Daphnia pulex: one gene and its partner. The protein of the gene in region 1 purifies or fractionates together with the protein of each later gene. This does not show direct contact. Links are inferred from orthologs where the notes say so. Each region holds a gene or a part of one and is shown in the gene's direction. Other genes may lie near its edges.

Evidence for each region.
Region 2: the proteins of probable tyrosyl-DNA phosphodiesterase (region 1) and DNA repair protein XRCC1-like purify together in Homo sapiens (affinity purification with mass spectrometry; 4 studies listed by BioGRID and IntAct, with this or other methods). This does not show direct contact. The link is inferred for Daphnia pulex from reciprocal best matches to the Homo sapiens genes TDP1 and XRCC1.

What each region holds. Positions count from the first base shown.
Region 1 is NC_060019.1:12,903,944-12,908,329, reverse strand, and holds probable tyrosyl-DNA phosphodiesterase, read left to right. Parts: upstream 1-1,399; 5' UTR 1,400-1,567; coding exon 1,568-1,649; intron 1,650-1,715; coding exon 1,716-1,973; intron 1,974-2,035; coding exon 2,036-2,336; intron 2,337-2,375; exon of another isoform or gene 2,376-2,404; coding exon 2,405-2,527; intron 2,528-2,601; exon of another isoform or gene 2,602-2,607; coding exon 2,608-2,702; exon of another isoform or gene 2,703-2,766; coding exon 2,767-2,944; intron 2,945-2,968; exon of another isoform or gene 2,969-3,014; coding exon 3,015-3,276; exon of another isoform or gene 3,277-3,340; coding exon 3,341-3,456; intron 3,457-3,520; exon of another isoform or gene 3,521-3,543; coding exon 3,544-3,577; exon of another isoform or gene 3,578-3,644; coding exon 3,645-3,734; intron 3,735-3,798; coding exon 3,799-3,885; intron 3,886-3,958; coding exon 3,959-4,069; 3' UTR 4,070-4,138; downstream 4,139-4,386. Other genes in the region: serine/threonine-protein phosphatase 6 regulatory subunit 3-like, read right to left, coding at 1-127, 185-458, 523-602, 666-725. UniProt on the Homo sapiens protein: DNA repair enzyme that can remove a variety of covalent adducts from DNA through hydrolysis of a 3'-phosphodiester bond, giving rise to DNA with a free 3' phosphate.
Region 2 is NC_060028.1:2,114,841-2,119,319, forward strand, and holds DNA repair protein XRCC1-like, read left to right. Parts: upstream 1-1,539; 5' UTR 1,540-1,659; coding exon 1,660-1,710; intron 1,711-1,991; coding exon 1,992-2,189; intron 2,190-2,250; coding exon 2,251-2,483; intron 2,484-2,552; coding exon 2,553-2,689; intron 2,690-2,749; coding exon 2,750-3,150; intron 3,151-3,222; coding exon 3,223-3,398; intron 3,399-3,467; coding exon 3,468-3,581; intron 3,582-3,650; coding exon 3,651-3,917; intron 3,918-3,982; coding exon 3,983-4,120; intron 4,121-4,183; coding exon 4,184-4,259; exon of another isoform or gene 4,260-4,332; coding exon 4,333-4,446; 3' UTR 4,447-4,471; downstream 4,472-4,479. UniProt on the Homo sapiens protein: Scaffold protein involved in DNA single-strand break repair by mediating the assembly of DNA break repair protein complexes. Negatively regulates ADP-ribosyltransferase activity of PARP1 during base-excision repair in order to prevent excessive PARP1 activity.

The sequences.
Region 1 (4,386 bases):
CTAATCTGGAATTTTTATTTTCAACACAGGTCACCAACTTCAATACCAAATCCATTATGGCAGAAGTTCTTAAATGTTTCAAAAGCTGAGAAAGAAATCCTTCTTTTTTTTTCAGGTACTCCAGCATCTGAAAAACAAAAACTTGTTAATAAATGAAACTGATGGCATTTCAATACTAATGTACCTTATCTGCTTTCCTTCCAACCAGAACTGCCATTGTTTTACTAAAAAATGATGCCATGAGAGGATTGAGTGGAGGTTCATTACCAATGAATTGGCACAACTCTGTCAAGAGAACCTCATCCATTACAATAGCATCATTGATGACAGAAATGTCACAGGAAAGCAGTTCAGCAGCTATGTTATTATATTTGAAACGCACAACATCAGCAGCCTGAGTTGATGGTTCCTTTGTCACCAAACTGATGAGTTCATGCAACACTTCAGGCTTCACCAAACTACAAATAAATAAAAAGTGCATAAGATTAAACCACACTTTTATACTTGTCATACTATACTTACAAATTAATGAGCTTCCTGTTACTACTTTTACATTCTTGAATTATATCATCTTCATCCATTAATCTCTGTAATGTGATATCCTAAGAGATTTGATTTCCATTAAAATTGAATTTAAGAAAGTTTAAAATAATATCACCACTTACTTCATCATTTAGAAGATTGTCGATGTTGGTGGTACACATATTATTAAAACGCCAAAACATTTTTGAAGTTTTAGATAAAACCGCTGTTTGAAAATCTAGGCAACACCTAAAAACAATATGACATCAGTATTTTATAATAGATTTTACAACATATTTTTCTATGAAGTGGAGTAAATGGATTTTAAAGGAGCACTTTGTTGTAGTACCAGTGTCTTAATTTATCTGATGAATCAGCTATCAGACCTTACAGCTCTAGCAGAAATCCTGAGATGTTAACTCAAATGGGAAATAAAGTTTGATGGCTAGTGGCTACTAGACAGAAAATCAGCGCTGCAAAAAATCATAAGAGAAGAAGATGCCTCACGCAACCATTAAAGAACATGACATTCGTTGACACAAATTATCCACTTTGAAATCTTTATTCTTTCGAGACTTAAGAACACACACTTAAGAACTACACCAACAAATGATGGCCTTCTTCTCCGCCCTAGTTCTAGGTTATTGAAGGCCCTCGTACTTCGATTAGAATTAATCTTGAGAAATCAAAAAAGTAAAAAAAAATGTAAGACTGTAATTCCTGAGAGAATAGCTTAATGGTAAAAACATTTAAGTAATGATAATAAAATTTTTATTAACTCAGCTTCCCTAATTGTAATTATTATATTTTTTTTTTGGGGGGGGGGAGGTTTGGCCGTCTAGCGGCCAAGTAAATTAGGCGGCCTTTGAGTTTGTACAAAGCGATCCAGAAACTGTTTTGAACGTTTGTTTATGAGAATCAGTCAGAAATCAGAATTATTTGGTTTTTAAGAGATATAGATCGCACTTTTAAAGTTCTTAATCAATTGAATATACAACAAAATTACTAGCCTTTCATCATTTTTTGCGAAGGAGCAACTATCGTAATGGATATGAAAGATTGTAAATACGGGTCAACGTGTTTTCGGCGAAATAAACATCATTTCCTTGAGTTTTCTCACCCAATTAGTAAGCAAATATTTTTTAACAATAGTTTTATACGAAATAATGTAATAATATAATTCAAATTGGAAGTTGAAAAAATAGCATTACAAATAAACAATGGAGAAATCGAAGCTGTAATGTCTCAAGAATTAAAATCAAACCTTCTGGAGCAAGCACAACTTGTTGCTGAGCTCATGGAAAGTGGGGAATTAATTCTTGATGACAGAAGGAAGATGGAAATCTCTGGTGAAAAAACTGGAGTGAAGCGTAATGCCTCTGCAATGGCACAAAGTGACAATGAGGCAGAGATAGAAGAAAATAGCAGCGAACAGAAAGAAAAAAGAATCAGTTTAGTTCAATTCTGCAATAATCATAAAATTAAATGAATCATGAAATTTTCTCTGTTCCAGAAGCAACAGCTATTGATGAAAATATTCCTTCCCATGCTAAGATGACAGATGATGTTGGTTCCTCAACCAAAATGGTTGTCAATGAAAAACTTAACCCTTTACAAAAGATTGAAGCTTCTGCTCCTGTTTGCTATTTCCTTAGCTCTATAGAAAATGTACCTGAAACTTGGGACCAGTCTCTTACCTTAACATTTAGTGATTTGCTCCATCCTTCACTTGGTGTGTTGCAAGAATCAGTACAATTTAACTTCATGGTGGAGCTTGGTTGGCTACTTGCTCAGTATTGTCAGCATAAAGTCCAGTAATTACATATATACTTATTACTGCATATTTTTCATGAGTTTCGATAATTTTGTTTGTATTAAACAGAAGGAAGCCAATGCTTGTGATTTACGGAACTGAATCCGAAGAGCTAGCTGCCGCTCAAAGTCGAGTGCCAACGCTTCACACGATCAGAGTCAAACCTAAATATCCATTTGGTAGCCACCACACGTAAGCATTAAATTTTTTAGTTGTTAGACTTTTTCATATTTACATTGTGTTTTCATTATCATTTCTGGAACTACCTGAAGGAAAATGTCCATGATGTCCTACGAAGACGGAAATTTGCGAATCGTTGTTCATACGGGTAACCTTATTGAATCTGATTGGGAAGACCGTACACAAGGTGCGTACCACTACAATCCCTATTGGCAAACTATCGTTTTTTTTTTAACAATAAATTTGTGCAGGCCTTTGGATTAGTCCGTCTTGTCCACCTTTGTCATCAAAAGACAACGAGAAGATCGGAGATGGTGATTCTATAACTGGTTTCAAAAGGGATCTTGTTCGTTATTTAGAATCCTATTCACTTTCCGCTTTGAAGCCTTGGATAGAAAAAATTCGCCAGGCTGACATGTCTAGTATTAAGTAAATTATTGAGTTATAAGGTACCTTGTTTTCAAACTTTTCAGCCAGACGCAAAATGTTTTGTGCACAGAGTTTGTTTTATCCCATCTTCGCCGGGATCTCATGCCATTCAATCAGAAGCCAATGAAAAAGTGCCGAAATGGGGACATCTTTACTTGTCTTGGCTATTGCAACAGCATGCTTCGTCTGAGGCAAATGATTCCATTATCATGCAATGTTCTTCGATTGGTTCGCTCGGTCCATCACCCAGCAGCTGGCTTGCAGGCGAGTTAGGTGTATCCATGGCTGCTGCTTCCGGTGTCACCAAACTCGGCCAGAAAAATGTCCAAGTGGTACGTATCCTCAGTTGCAAATGTCAGTTGATTAGTTTTTGTTTCATAACATTTTCTCAAACAGGTTTACCCGTGCTTCCAAGATGTCAAATCCAGTATTCATGGGTTACTTGGTGGAGGCTGTTTACCATACTCACATCAAGGCCACAACAAACAAACATGGTTCACAGGATTTCTCCAGTAAGAGATTATACCAGTTGCATTTATCTGTTAACAAGAGATTGACAGTTTTCTTTTCACCTACTTGAAATTGTGTTCCTCGTGAAGTAAATGGCGTAGTGACAGCAGACTCCGAACAACGGTAAGCTCAATCTTTGGTTAAATGCTGCAAACAATATTAAAAGATTATGTAACCATCCTCCTTACAGGCAATGCCTCACATTAAATCTTATGCTCGTGTCAGCAGTGATATGAGCAGAGCTTCTTTTTTCGTACTTACCAGTGCGAACGTTTCAAAGGTACTATTCATTTATTTCAAATTTTCAGCTTGAGTAAGCTTGTTCATAAATTCCATTTTCGTAGGCCGCTTGGGGGATGAGGACCAACAAGGATTCGAAATTGATGATTCAATCGTTTGAAGCTGGCGTCCTGTTCTTACCCAAATTCCTTGTAAGTTGTAACATTAGTTTTTCAGGCTTCTCTGGATTTCTAGTAATTGAAATATCATTTTGTTTTCGTTTAGTTTGGTGAAATGACTTTCGAACTCGGGAAACAACTCTGTCTTCCATACGATTTACCGTTGACGAAATATGGTGAGGGTGACGAACCTTGGTTCATTGATAACCTGCGCTAAAATTCGTCGTTTACTACAATAAACTTTTTTTTTACTGTGATAAAAATACAATGATCGAAAATTTTAAAATTGCAACAAGTTGTTATAAAAAATAAACTTTGATTGAAACATGGAAAGATGGGATGTGTATTCATTGCTTGTTTTTTTTATCGTTTTTTCAAAATGATGTTTTGGGACGTGGAAGTACGAAACAGAACGCCACATGAAAATGTTGGAGAAAATGTTAGATATTATAACCAGCTTCCTTGGTGAACATATTCGAGAGGAGATAGGGATTCCGATGTAAAAAGAACTCAGTTTAAGAGATGATCTTGTTT
Region 2 (4,479 bases), on another chromosome or scaffold:
TGCATATAGCCTATATAGACGGTAGGTGCTGCTGATTGTGTCTTTGTTGTATTTTGGGGGGGGGGAATCTTAGGAATAATACAAGAGGAAACAAAATAGAATGGAGAATGAAATAGAAAGAGACTATAAGAAATTGAAGTGGCTCGTACATAGGTATACAAAGCTGCCGGAAGCCTAATACATATATATTGTACATGAAATGTGTGTGTATATGCCTGCAGTGAGTGCAGTTTATATAATATAGCCTGTGTATTTATACATGTAGTCAGCAGGATCGAGGAGAGTTAAAAGAAAAGTTTTTTCGGAAGGGAAATCTAAAAAATACATTCCTTAATATTCTCTGTGCGCAACCTCGATTCTTTGGCTGTATAGCGAAATAAGACATATATAGGAGAAATTAAAAGCCTATACTATATATATAATGTAGCCATGTTCATCCTTGGAAAGAGCTGGGTTGCTTGCTGCTGCGTGGGCCTTGTAAATACAATATAAAGAAGGGAGGAAAAGAGCGTGGAGGTGTCAATACTACTAACGCCGGAAAATGTTCCAGTTGATACTGGGCGATGCTGTGGCTGTTTTATTTTTTTTGTTTTTTCTGGGGAATCACCTATTAATAAAGGCGAGACGTAATATGGTTTTCTTCTCCTCGGCTTTTCTTTCGGTATCCAAGGAGCGAGAAACGGTCGAATTAGAAAAAAAAACAAATTAAAAATATCACTTGCACAAAATGCTTTGCACTCTGGCTGTTGACGTTGTCCTTGTAATATAAACTTCGTTGTCGGAGTACCACGTTGATAAATTAATGCGCCAGCTAAGCCGTAATAGAAATTAAATGAGCTAAAATCGATGACATCCCTCCCCCTTCTCTCCAGCATCATGAATGGTTAAGAGAAAAGAAAATAATAAATTTAGTGGACATTAATCAATTTGGTAGTTTAAACATTGAACCGCCAGAACGTATATATTTCCAGTTGGAATTGAAATTGACTTAAACGTTTAATGTGTAGATTTTATTTGCAGACTTATTTTTATTCATTTCTGTTGTCGTAAAAGATTGATCTCTGCTGATGTCGATGAGTTATTGTCGGTTTATTTTCGACTTGTCATCAGGCATCAGTAATAATAAATAAAAGGATAACCTAAAATAGGCCATTATCCACTATAGGACGCTGTTAACCTTTTTAAAAAAGACCAGCGTAGAAAAAAAACCCAGCGATTTTTGTTTGGATTCTGAATCTGGTGTTGTGTTCAATGCATATTGAATACGCGCGCTGAATGCATTTTACAATGTCCGTTTGCAAGCCAACGCGCTCTGTTGGCGGGTTTTTTAAACAGGACCCAGGAGCAGCCGACTTTCCATATATAATAAAAATAAAATGTAGGGAAAATTGAATGATCACAACTTTTAAAATGGGGGAATAAATTATTATTCTAATAAAATCTGAATCGCTCAGGGTGCGACGACTCAGAATAAGAAATCTTCCAAATTATTCAGGCCGTCTTCTAGCCCCAAAGCCGCCAGAGAATAAAACGTATAGTGCAGCTGCAAACATTGGACAAATCAACTTCCGACGATACACGTGCCAAGTTAAAAAGTCGTTGAAATTTGTATTCCAGTTTTGATTTTCTTAACATTTGTTCAGCGTCGTTGTTTTGTCTATGGCGCCCATAAAATTTACTCGTGTTGTGAGTTTCAGTAGCGAAGATCCGGTATGTTAACAAAATTGTGATTTTCATTGTATAAAGTCGCAAGTGATAGTTGTTTTGACGTTTGGTTTATCGAACCAGGGTGATTTTCACAAATTACTCTTGACACTTCTACTGCTATTTTGGTGAACTTAGTATTCCATAGTTGTGACTGGCAGTATAGAAATCTATTTAATTTCAACGATGAAGACTTTCACTAGAAGAAGATAAAATAGTCACAACGATTCTTACAATTTGCACAACTCTGTGCACTATGGAAAATGATAAAGATTTTTTTTTTACAGAATCAGCCAACAGAAAACCTCATTAAAGATGGAGTGTACAGGAAATGGAGGTGCAAATCTGCTGGAGAGCAGAAAGCGTGGGTTGAATTTCAGTTAGAGAAAACATCCTTCATTTCAGCTGTTGACATAGGAAACCATGGTTCTGCATTCATTGAAATTTTAGTTGGTAGAAGTGGTTGTTCCGATGAAGACTACAAGGTAGACATTACACTTTAAAATAATTGTATTATTTAATGTAAAAGTTGTACACATGTATTAGGTTCTTTTGAATTCAGCCTCTTTTATGACACCTCAAGAGTGTCGAAACGAAACAAATCTCCAGCGTGTACGGATTTTCAAACACCAAGATTTGAACAAGGCCACCCAAGCTGAAAAATGGGATCGCGTTCGGGTTGTTTGCACTCAACCGTTCAACAAACAGCTTCAGTATGGAATTTCCTTCCTTACAGTTCATGCTCCAGAAGAAGAGTCAGCTAATAAAACCAACAATAAGTAAGCCACAAATATTGCCACATGTCATACCAATAATGTATCCTATTAAATGAATCTTAATCACCTTAGTGCTAGCGTGAAAGCAGCAAACAGCATAGATCTTGGCATGTTTAAACTTAGGTCCGAAGAATCAATTGTTGACCCCATCAAACAAGGCAGTTTGTTCTCTCGGTTCAAGTCGTCGATCAGCACCTCGCCCAGCACTCGTAATTATTGCTGTCTAATTTGTTTTCATACCATGATAATGATTTTTTTTATTTAAATAGAGCCTGGTGCAATCCGTGCTGCATCTCAAAGTCTTGCCTCTGCTGCCCTAGCACAGAGTGAGAAAGAGGCCTTGACCATTTTGAGACACTCCCCTAACAAGGACGGCAGCAGACCAGATATCAAATTGACAGATAAGCTTAAAACGTTGCAGACTCGAAGTCCCACAGTATCTAAAACACCTACTGCTGCCAAAGTCGATCAACATTCGCCATTACCTAGTCGCAAGCAAGTGGAATCTGATCGGCCGAGACCAGTTGCGCCGCCCATCACTCCACCAGCTAAAAAATCGTTGAGTAAAAAAATGCAAGAAAGCAAACCAAGACATTCCCCCCTTCATGAATCGAAGAGAGTTGAAGGACCAGTTAAAAGGAAAACACCACCACCTTCTCCATCAGTTGACGTATAAACATTTATAATTCAACCTTTCAAATTATGAGTCGTACTATCACATCTTTTGAATGCCGATCTATAGACGCAGCGCTTAGCGAAAAAGCAACGGACGACCAAACCTTTTAATCGCCTATTGGAAGGCGTCGTGGTGGTCCTTAGTGGTTTTCAAAATCCTTTACGGGGTCAACTGCGAGATAAACTGCTGGCCTTAGGTGCCACCTATAAACCGGAATGGAACGCGTCTTGTACGCATTTGATGTATATTTTACAAAACAAATTTTTGACGTAGAGTCATGCGCTTATTATTCTTTATTCATTTGATTATAGATGTGCCTTTTACAACACACCAAAGTTCATTGAAGTTAAGGGTAAAGGCAAAATAGTTACCAAAAATTGGGTTCAAGATTGTTTCGACAAACGAAAAAGATTACCATGGAGACGGTAAAAATCATTACCAATGTGGTTTATTTTTCTATCGCTTGGATTGTAATAATTTGTCTTTTTAAATAGTTATTGTTTAGATAAAAATGACAGAGGAGAAGAAAGCGAAGAAGAAATTTGGGAAGGAGAGGACCAGGGGCCGACATGTCCGACCCCTACACCCCAAACCAGTAAAGCAGCAACTGTAGTACCCCAATCGCCAACTGTAGCAGCCAGTTGTAAGCCTACCACTGTGGTGGCGAGTCCTAAAACTAGTGTCGTCAAGGACGAAGAAGAAGAAGACTACGGCGGGTCGACTGAAGTTGACGAAGTCGACACGGAAGATGAAATCGATATGTAGGCTCATCTCACACACTCTTTTCGAATTTATAATGGCTAACGCACATAATTGTTTGAAATAGGATCAAGAAGAAAATTAAAGAACAACAGCAGACTTTGGAAGATTCAAACATTTACGCTAATTTGAACTTTTATCTGGGCAAAGATTTGTCCGAAGAAGTGAAAGAGGACCTAACGCTCTATATAAAAGAATGTCAAGGGTACTACCATTAATTAAATTTCTTATGTTCCTTTTTGACAAATAACGTATTTTTCTCAAACAGTAAATTAGTGCCGAAAATTAAATCAAAGGTTTCTCACTTTATATCCGACGATCCTGACGATGATTCAGTCGCCAAGGTAAATGCAGTTTATTTATTCTGTTCATAAAAGATTACTAAAGTCGGGTCTTGGATTATTCATTATTTTTAAGGCGCTGTCGAAAAACCAAGACATGAAAATTGTCAAAAGTGATTGGATACGGACATGCAGAAAAAATAACAAATTAGTTGCTCTCGATGAATTCTTGGTGCAACAAACGAAATGAATAATAAAGGTATTTTAAAACAGAACGATGTCT